2 linked regions of the Mus musculus genome follow. The protein of the gene in region 1 purifies or fractionates together with the protein of each later gene. This does not show direct contact. Links are inferred from orthologs where the notes say so. Each region holds a gene or a part of one and is shown on either strand. Other genes may lie near its edges.

Region 1 (4,602 bases):
GAGAAGAAACAAGAGCCAAGAGGCTGGAGTAAGCCAGGAGACAAAGAGAGCAAGAGGCCAAGAGACCACATAGCCAAAAGGCAGGGTTATAGAGAGCAGAGCAGCTGAGGGAAGGGAGTGAAGCTCAGGGGCTGCAGAGGTTGAGGGTAGGAGGGCTGGATGAAAGTGCTAAGAAGAGTCAGGACTCTTAACAGGTATAGGCGATGCTGAGACAGGTAGCCAGTGTCTGCTCTGATAGGCACCTTGGCTAGCAGCTATACTTCCTGAGTTTGAGACCTAACAAAGACTTTAAACAAAACTCCATGTAAATAATCTGAAGCCAATGGCTTCTCATGTAGCCCAGGCTGGCCTCTGACTTTCTATGTAGGTGAAGGTGACCCTGAACTTCTGATAGGCTTGCCTCCCAAGTGGAAGTATAGGCATGATGGGCTTCCAAGCCCAGTCTGTGCAGAGGAAGGAATCAAATTCAGAACTTCATCCAAAGCACTCTATCAACCGAGCTGTATATTCCCAATCCCTAGAACCTAAGTTAATAACAAATTGAACAAAGCTTAAGTGGCTACGGAAACAGAGCCAGGAAACCAAGACTTTGTCTTTTAAAAAAAAAAAAAAAAAAAAAAGACAAGGGGACCATCCCCCAAATAGACTGGGTGATAGGTTTATAGGACTAGTCACTACTGTGTACACACTTGATGAAAGAAAAAATATGTACCTACATTTTTTTAAAAACAAGTGCCCACCCCCACATGCTACAAATTAGTGCCTGGCTGAACCTTGGCCATGACTTATGAAGTATACTTATACAAAACAACCACAACAGATGGTCTCAGTTACCTGCCATCAAAGAACTTCCATTGTTTAAAAAACAAAACAAAACAAAACTAGTTGAATGTTGTAGTAGCATTAAATTCAAAAAATTCTTCAGATTATCTTCACGGGAACCAATCACAGAAAAATAACTGGTAACAGCTTTATATTAAAAATTCAGAGTAAGGCTTCTAAAGTAAAAGGTATTTTTCCACCATTGTTTCTCAATGTGACAATACCAAAAATAATTTTTTTTGTTCCGTTGTAGCTTTACCGAGTTCTAGCATACAGAACCAAAATGCTGACCCAGGAATGTAACCTTCATTTTGTTTTTCTTGTACTTCCTAGAAATGTCTCATAATCTGTTTTGTTCCAAAGTAGGGAAGGAGGGAAGGAAAGATAAATGTGTATTACAAGAAGCCTGCTTTCAAAATCTAATTACTTCCTAAGTGAATGCTCTCTAAAATCGCATTGCCACACACTAACATCTAGCTTTTCACTCCACAACTAAAAATGAAACACACACCACCGCATTCCTCATAATAACTGTAATTAAACAGGTACTGTGCCCCTTTCACAGCCTGAGGGCCATTAAGTGTCTTCAAGCTGAATGGTATTAAGGCATCAAGAAGCACTTCCCTGGGTAGTATCTAATATCCGGGAACCACAAACAGTCCCTGGAAAAACTCAGCTCTCTACCGCTGCTAAGTCTGAGGAACTAAAAAACTGTTTTATAGGATGAACTGAGTTTTGTTCTGGTTTGTTTCTTGTCCTCCTTCCTGAATTCTGAAAACGTATTTAAAAACAAGATCCAATACCTTTCTGTCTGACTCTCAAAATGTGTTGTCTAGAGTTTCCACACTGAAACGAAACAAACTTCCGGGCCACCTCATCATACATGATTTATGAAACATCCAATCCTGCAAGTCTGCCCTTAAAAATAATCATCTTTAGAGATGGATGGGTATTAATAAAATCAATCAAACATTAACTACAGAATCCAGACATTTAAAAGACGGACACTTGCACTTTTTCAACTTATATGTGTGAAATTCCTAAATATCTGGGGTGACCTTTCCAAACGTCAGAACACAACTTAAGCCTACCTAAATCTTTGCAGTCTTTCATCAAAGCGCAAACTTGGTATTCCTCCCAGCTCTTCACAAGCCCTCCCTTAAAATGGCAAAACGGAAAGGACGACAGCAGATCTAACCGCAAAACTAACTCATCGCTCGCTCAAACCAAGTTCATCCAAAAAGTAACTTCCTAGGTTTTATATCAACTTAGTATTGACTTTTTAAAACAATACCCAGTAAAAACAACTTTGCTAATTTCTTAACCGCGCGCCGCAACTCAAGTTTTACATAAGAAAGAGGGCCGACAGCAAGTAGATCCGCGAACCTCTCCCGGGTCTTAAAACCTGCAAAAACTCAATACTTGGGAGCCGCGGTAGCCCCGAGTCTTTAGATCTCAACAGTCTTGGGTTGGAGTTGCCATTATTTGCGGCAGACGGCGAAGAAGAAGAAACGCAAAGATCGCCAAGACTTCGGAACTAAGAGTGCTTGTGAGCAGAGGACGGGAAAACCCAAGCGAGCACTTGGTACCGGGAGGATCGGGAGCACTCGGAGCGCAGCCGGAGAGGGCTGACTCCCACACTCCTTGGGACGAGAGGGCGCTCAGGGGCGCGGGGCTCCGGAAGCAGGGACAGGTGAGGCCTCGGCCAGCGCCCACCCGGGCCCCACCTGGAGCCACCCGGGTCCCGCTGCCACCCCGGCTGCCACCCCGGCCGGGGCCGCGGCGCCCGCACCTCTCGGTCCTTGAGGCCCAGCAGGAGCACCTCCTCCATCAGGGTCAGCCGCGTTTCCTTGGAGTCGCCCTTGTCGTCGTCGTCCTGCTCGTCGCGGCGGCTCTGCGCCTCGTCCTCGCCGCTGCCGCCGCCGCCTCCCGCCGCCCGCTCCTTGTCGGCAGCGTTCCGGGAGGCCTCGGTGCGCCGCTGCACCAGGCCCGAGCTCCGCTGGGTCAGCGAGGTCATGGCTCCCGCACAAGAGCCGCGCCGGACCGACAGGGACGCGGGACCGGCCGGCTCTCCCTCACGGCCCCGGCCCCGGGAGCTTCCGTGTTAATTCTTGGAGCTGGGGCGATGTCCGTGGGCTGCGGGGCCGAAGGCGGTCATGAGGAGCCGGAGCTGGGCGAAGCCGGCGGGCCGGGCGTCGATGGGGTACACAAGGGAGCCTTCAGCCCGCGGCTGTGGCCCCCCACACAGCCCAGGAGCCCGAGCGGAGGCGGCGGCGGCGGTGGCGCTTCCCAATATGGCGGCGCGCGCTGACGTCACCGGAGGATGTGGCAGCGCCGGCGCGGGGCGGGGCCGGGGTGCCGGAAGCGGCGCGAGCGGGGGGCGTGGCTAGCCGCCTCCCACTTCGGCGGACACTTGAGCTTCTGGACTCGCTAGTGGCCCTGAGTCTGGAGACGAAAGGTTTGCGATCGGTGACCTGCCCGGCTTTCATCCGCCTCTCAGTTCACTCTAAAGGTCCGGCCTGGCGCCAGCGACCAGTGAGATCTCTCCTGGATCCCAGAAGCCGAGGCCAGGCTAGGGCGGACCCCACTGAGACCTCAGCATCCCTGGGGATCAGCCACTATAGCCCGGGTCCTCACTACCTACGGGGAGGACTTGGCTCTTCGCCTGTGAAACTCCCGAGTTTCAAAAGGAGTCATCTACACTCGGGCGTTTAAAGCTGTTCATGTACTGTGCTCTGGCGTAGAGAGGTTAAACAAATTGACGAATTGTGTTTGTAAAACTTTCCTACCTCCGACTGCGGCTGTAAAGTGGTCAGGGCGCACTGTACTGTTAGGACAGCCGACCTTAGGATTCTTTTATAGCGACAGTAAACCTCTTGAGTTTCATGCCACGTCTTTGTAGCCCTAAATCTATTTTCGATGTAATTACTAGGTTCAATCCCTTTGGCAGTTTGTGCAAATCAAGTTAAAGGAAAAACTGCCAAACCTGAGAAGGGTTTGGAGAAGTAGAAGGGCGGGTCTTATGAGAAAACATTATCCAAAAACGGTATCGTAGGTCTGTCCAGTATTATTTAAAATAAACAGTAACCATACGCAGTGAGTAAGCCAGGTTTAGACAGAATATTCCCCGCGCCCAAATACGTTGTCTCAACTCCTACGGGGACAGTAAGTCCCAGTAGGTCCTCCCACCCACAGCCCCAAGCTACCTTCCCTTTTTCCTGAAAAAAAAAAAAAAAAAAAAATGTGTCCTCAGCCAGTTTCTCCCATTCACGTCACCTTTTTGTTCCTTCACCTTTCTGGTCATTCTTTGCCAACTGACTTTAAATGTCCTTTGTAAATTAAATGGTTATTTAACTCAGAAGGTTAAATCCAAAAAGCACAAAGCTGTGCGTACAGGCTCTGCCTGTTCGGCTAGTTGCTCCTGTCCCTGCGGAGATTTTTTTTTTTTTTTAAATGGGGTAAGATGTGAAGCTTCGTTGGGGAGGTAGTCAGTGGGCACAGTACTTGAGGACAAATTAGAAACTGGCATCTGGGAGGCAGAGGCAGATTCCTGGAGGCTTCCTTGCCAGTGAGCCTCGCCACATGGGCAAGCAAATGGGTAAGTGCCTAGGTCCCAATAAGAAGCCTTGCCTCAGAAACAGTGTGAGGGCCCAGCGAATGGCTCAGTGGGTCAACAGCTTGCTGAGCTAGCGTGAGGACCAAAGTTCAAATCCCAGCACTCATGAGCACCAAGTACATTCCTGTAATAGCAGCCTTAGGAAGCTAAGAAAGACAGATCCT
Region 2 (4,418 bases), on another chromosome or scaffold:
TGGGAGAAAGACCCTTCCTCGCTCATCTCCACTGGGCGGGACAGGAGGGCAGTGAGCACTGAGGCTACTGGGACGGTTATGACCAACAACTCCATGGTTTTCTATTAATGGCGAAACACTGGTTATCTATCTAACTGCTCAGCTAGCCAGTCCAAGTGGCAGGAGGAAGTCTGTGCAGCTCTCTGTGACCAGATCGTCAGGTTGCAGGTGGCTGGAACACCATATGATCACAGAACTGAATCAGATAAACAATACCGTTTGCAGACACCCACCTTAGTAACACATGGCCAACAGAAATCGGAAACACAGTGTTTTTGCCTTCTTTTTTTTAAAATTCCTTTTGATTGAAAAAACGGGGGAGAGCCAGGCAGTGGTGGCACACACCTTTAATCCCAGCCCTTGGGAGGCAGAGGCAGGCAGATGTCTGAGTTCGAGGCCAGCCTGGTCTACAAAGTGAGTTCAGGGACAGCCAGAGCTACACAGAGAAACCCTGTCTCGAACCCCCCCCCCAAAAAAAAAGAAAAGAAAAATGGGGGAGGGCGAGCATAAAAAGATCTAGCATTTGCACTACAATATTTATGCTTCCCTCACACCACTTTCCATTTATTACTTCAACCGACCAACAATTAATGCACACCTACTATGAATTACAACTGTAGGGCCCCATGGTAACTATGCCCTTTACCCCTATCCACAAAAATCATCTCGTGTTCTATCCCAGATCAACCTGACACCCACAGCTCCTTCTGTCCGCAACCATGAGTGCGCTAACAGCTGACTCTACTGTCTTGGCACTCACCAGGGGTTCGACAGTTATCAATCTGTAGGCTGCAGTTGCTGACCTCACACTTACAAGCACTGAAATGGCGGTCAGAGGGAGCCAATTCATATCCTAAAAGTAAACAGAAATTCCCATTTAGGAACTGGAAATTCAGAAGAGACAGAAGGGACTAAAGTAAATAATCATCAACAGCACAAAATAAGTCTATGACATAAAAAATTATGAAAAATAAAAATCTGTGACTTGCTTTTTTCCAAAGTATACTTTGGTTCAAAATATATTTTAAAAAGCAAGGCCTGTGCTTTAAAAATGAAAAGTACCTATTTTCTCACTAGTCCTAAGGAAACAGAGCAAATCAACCCCATGGTCACAAGGAAAGCTGTAAATTCCAGGTTTTTGTTTGTTTTCAAGACAGCCCTGGCTGTCATGGAACTCACTCTGTAGTAGACCAGGCTGGCCTGGAATGCGGAGATCTGCCTGCCTCTGCCTCCCAAAGGCTGGGGTTCAAGGCATGCGCTGTGTCATCACCCGGCCAGTCTTATTTTTTTTTAAAATTATCTTTTCCCTTCATTATTTTTATATGTTCTTTATTATGACTGAGGCTAGACTTACGCACAGTACCTTTTATTTTCCTCGATTTGTTGGCTTTTGAGGAAGGGTCTTACTATGTAGCCTATCCTAGACCGCAGATATATGCCTGCCTCTGCCTCAGGAATGGTGGGATTAAAGGGGACGACTAATCCCCCCTCCCCCTCCCTCACCCCCACCCCACACTGTTCTCCTGTGATAAGTATTTTCTAATGTGAACCCGCATCTTGTTTTCAGGTAACAGTTCTGGGACACAAAACCCAACATCTTCACAAACTTTAAGAAAGTTATTAATTTAATACAATAATTTTAAATTTGCCCTAAATTGATTTAGAGCCTATGCAAATAATTTAGCATCTTTAATGCCTGAACCTGTTTCTCAGGACGATAACATGCACAAGTGCTTTCAGCTTGCTCACCCGGCTTGCATAAATTCAGGGAATGGCAAGCACATTGAGCTCAATGTGAAATTACAACCCAAGCAATGTAGGCATGGTTAATTATTGACAATCTTGACTTTCCGGATTCTCGGTTGTATTATAAAGCCGTAGACCTCAATCGTGAAAAGATCGCATTATTTCTTTCTTCCAACGTGAGCTATCAAATCTCCGGAGGGAACCTGGCTGAGTAGAGATGACCCTCACACCTGGCCCTAGATCCAAGTGACAGTGTTAAACATATCCTTTTCCCAAATTGTAAACGCCTTACCCATCCTACTGGAGACATAAGTCTTTAAACGAAGTAATTGTATAAGGACCATCCACGCCCTGTTGTTCCCCCCCCCCTTTTCTTCGTTTTTATCAGGAGCCTGACAGATCACTGACTCCAGATTAAAAAGAATGTCTTATCAGACTCCACAATCAAGGACACAGCTTGACAACGTTCGCATTCATCTTCAAGGCAACGTCTGGGCTCGCTCTTAATCGCCGGGCCATCACACCCGGAAATGAAACCGCCAGCGCAGCCCACTCTGCACAGTCTCATCCTAAGTTGTGCCCCTTGGCGCTCTGAGCGCACGACCGCAGGACACCGCTGCCCTCTCCGGCCCAGGGCCTGCAGGTCACTCGCGCTCCCCGACCACCAAGCGGGCCCCGTAGGGGCTCAGCGAGAGCGCGCTCCTCGGCCACCAGGAGGGCGGCGTAGGGACCGAGCTAGAGCGCGCTGCCCGCCGGGCCGCCGACACCGGCTTCGTGTGACAGAAGGGCGACACCAGGGCCAGGAGCCTCTGGGGACCGTCCTTAGCAGCGAGCACCGGTCACCGCAAGGACTCCCGATCGCCCGCAGCCCCGCATCCGGCCCCTGAGGGAGGTGCCCCGCCCCCCGCCGCCCGCGCTTTCCCTCCCTCCCTCCCTCCTTCCCGTCGTTCCCGGGCGAGGGGTCGCGCGCCCTCTCCAACCGCGCCACTCACCTGGCGGGCCTCAGGCTCGCTCCATAGCCGCCCGCGCGGTGCGGTGAGGCGCGGCCCCGGCCGCCCCCGCCGCCTCCGGGGAGGGGCAGCCCCACGCCGCACTCACCGCCCCGGGCCGCCGCCGCCACCACTGCGGCTCCCGCCCACCGCCGGCCCGGCCATTCCCCGGTCGCCGCTCCCCGCGGAGCCGGCCGCTCCACACCCACCCCCGCCTCCGCGCTGCCTGGCTGTTGGTACGGTCCTAGCGGAACGCCCTCCCTGCAGCCAATCCCAGTGCGCACCCGGCGCAGCTCCGCCCCCGTTGCGGGTAGGCGGGACTACCGGGCAGCTCCGGACCGCCCCCTTTAACCCTTTCACCCTCATTCCTGCAGCGCTGGGCTCCGCAGACACCGTCGGCGGATTTCTCCAAGCCTGTTTACATAAACTAGCTTCTGGCTTCTCTCTTACCTTCACAATTTCTTTCCTGCAGTCATCTAGGTGAAGTCCTATTCTGAAGAGATAATTTCTTCTTTCTTTCGCTCTGCCTTGACTTCTCCTTGGAGATTCTGCCCCAAAGTGCCCTTCCCTGACCAAAAGAGGCCAGACTTCCCACCTTGGAAATCGCTCCAGCTTTGGCCCAGAGCAGAGCTCCCCTACTGTACCTTTTCAGTAGCTCTTAACAAAATCCTGTTTATTTTATTATAATAGCTTTTTTTTTTTTAATGTTTGTGCCTTGCAATGGACTGTAAGCCCTAAGAGGGCAAATCCAGCGCGACTTGGTTTCCAGTGCCCTGCACTCACCCACTAGGCTCCTGAAGAGTCAATGAGCTGCTCCTCCCCTTAACGTGTGTCCACTCCACACACAGTAGCTACTGTATAATGCATACGTTTATTCACCATATAGACAGCTTCCATGTAGTCTGTTTGACCCTAAAATATTATGGTGTACGTTCTACATTGGATATGATTTGTGCGGGGGGGGGGGGAGTTTGGGGACTAAGCAGGAATTTCTTTCAAGAGGGAAAGAAACGATCTCTCTCTCTCTCCCTCTCTCTCTCCCTCCCTCCCACCCCCCACTGTATGCCACTGGGCATGTCATGTAGTGCCTCTGAGTATAAGGCTCCTTGGGAAATGGAAGTTAAACACAGTACCTACTTGACAGGATTGTGGTGAGATTTAAATAGTAAATGTGTGGAGAAAATACAATTATTGTGTGAAGTTAGTTTAATGTGTGTGTGTGTGTGTGTAGCACTTTCGATCAGGACACCCAGAGAAACTATTGGACTTGACACCCTACCCCAGAAGACTTAGTGAGGGAAAGCAGCTTTAATCACTGCTGGAAGCACTCATCACTGCAAGGCGTACAAAGGGCAGCGTAGACAGCCCTGTGTCAGCTTTTACTGGATAGAGTTGAAAAGGGTTGAGGCCATTATCCGACAATGGAAAGCACAATTCTTGGGAAAATTGGCTGGATGGTGATGAGAGTCTGCCTTATTTCTTAACAGGCACATGGGTCTGCTTGCAGCCAGCTCTTCTGGGCCAGAAAACCATGAGGCAAAAGAGGAAGCCAACACTTTCTTTGAGACTGTGTGACTAACAGTGCTCCGTCTTCTCTGTCATTCCATTGACACTGAAGAAGGACCCTGCTCCTGTCATTGCTCA

The links.
Region 2: the proteins of Golph3 (region 1) and Fam20b purify together in Homo sapiens (affinity purification with mass spectrometry; 3 studies listed by BioGRID and IntAct, with this or other methods). This does not show direct contact. The link is inferred for Mus musculus from reciprocal best matches to the Homo sapiens genes GOLPH3 and FAM20B.

Annotation. Positions count from the first base shown.
Region 1 is NC_000081.6:12,319,969-12,324,570, reverse strand, and holds the start of Golph3 (Golgi phosphoprotein 3), read right to left. Parts: upstream 3,076-4,602; 5' UTR 2,840-3,075; coding exon 2,615-2,839; intron 1-2,614. UniProt on the Homo sapiens protein: Phosphatidylinositol-4-phosphate-binding protein that links Golgi membranes to the cytoskeleton and may participate in the tensile force required for vesicle budding from the Golgi.
Region 2 is NC_000067.6:156,716,089-156,720,506, forward strand, and holds the start of Fam20b (glycosaminoglycan xylosylkinase), read right to left. Parts: upstream 2,823-4,418; 5' UTR 2,778-2,822; intron 2,704-2,777; exon of another isoform or gene 2,078-2,703; intron 893-2,077; exon of another isoform or gene 800-892; intron 1-799. UniProt on the Homo sapiens protein: Responsible for the 2-O-phosphorylation of xylose in the glycosaminoglycan-protein linkage region of proteoglycans thereby regulating the amount of mature GAG chains.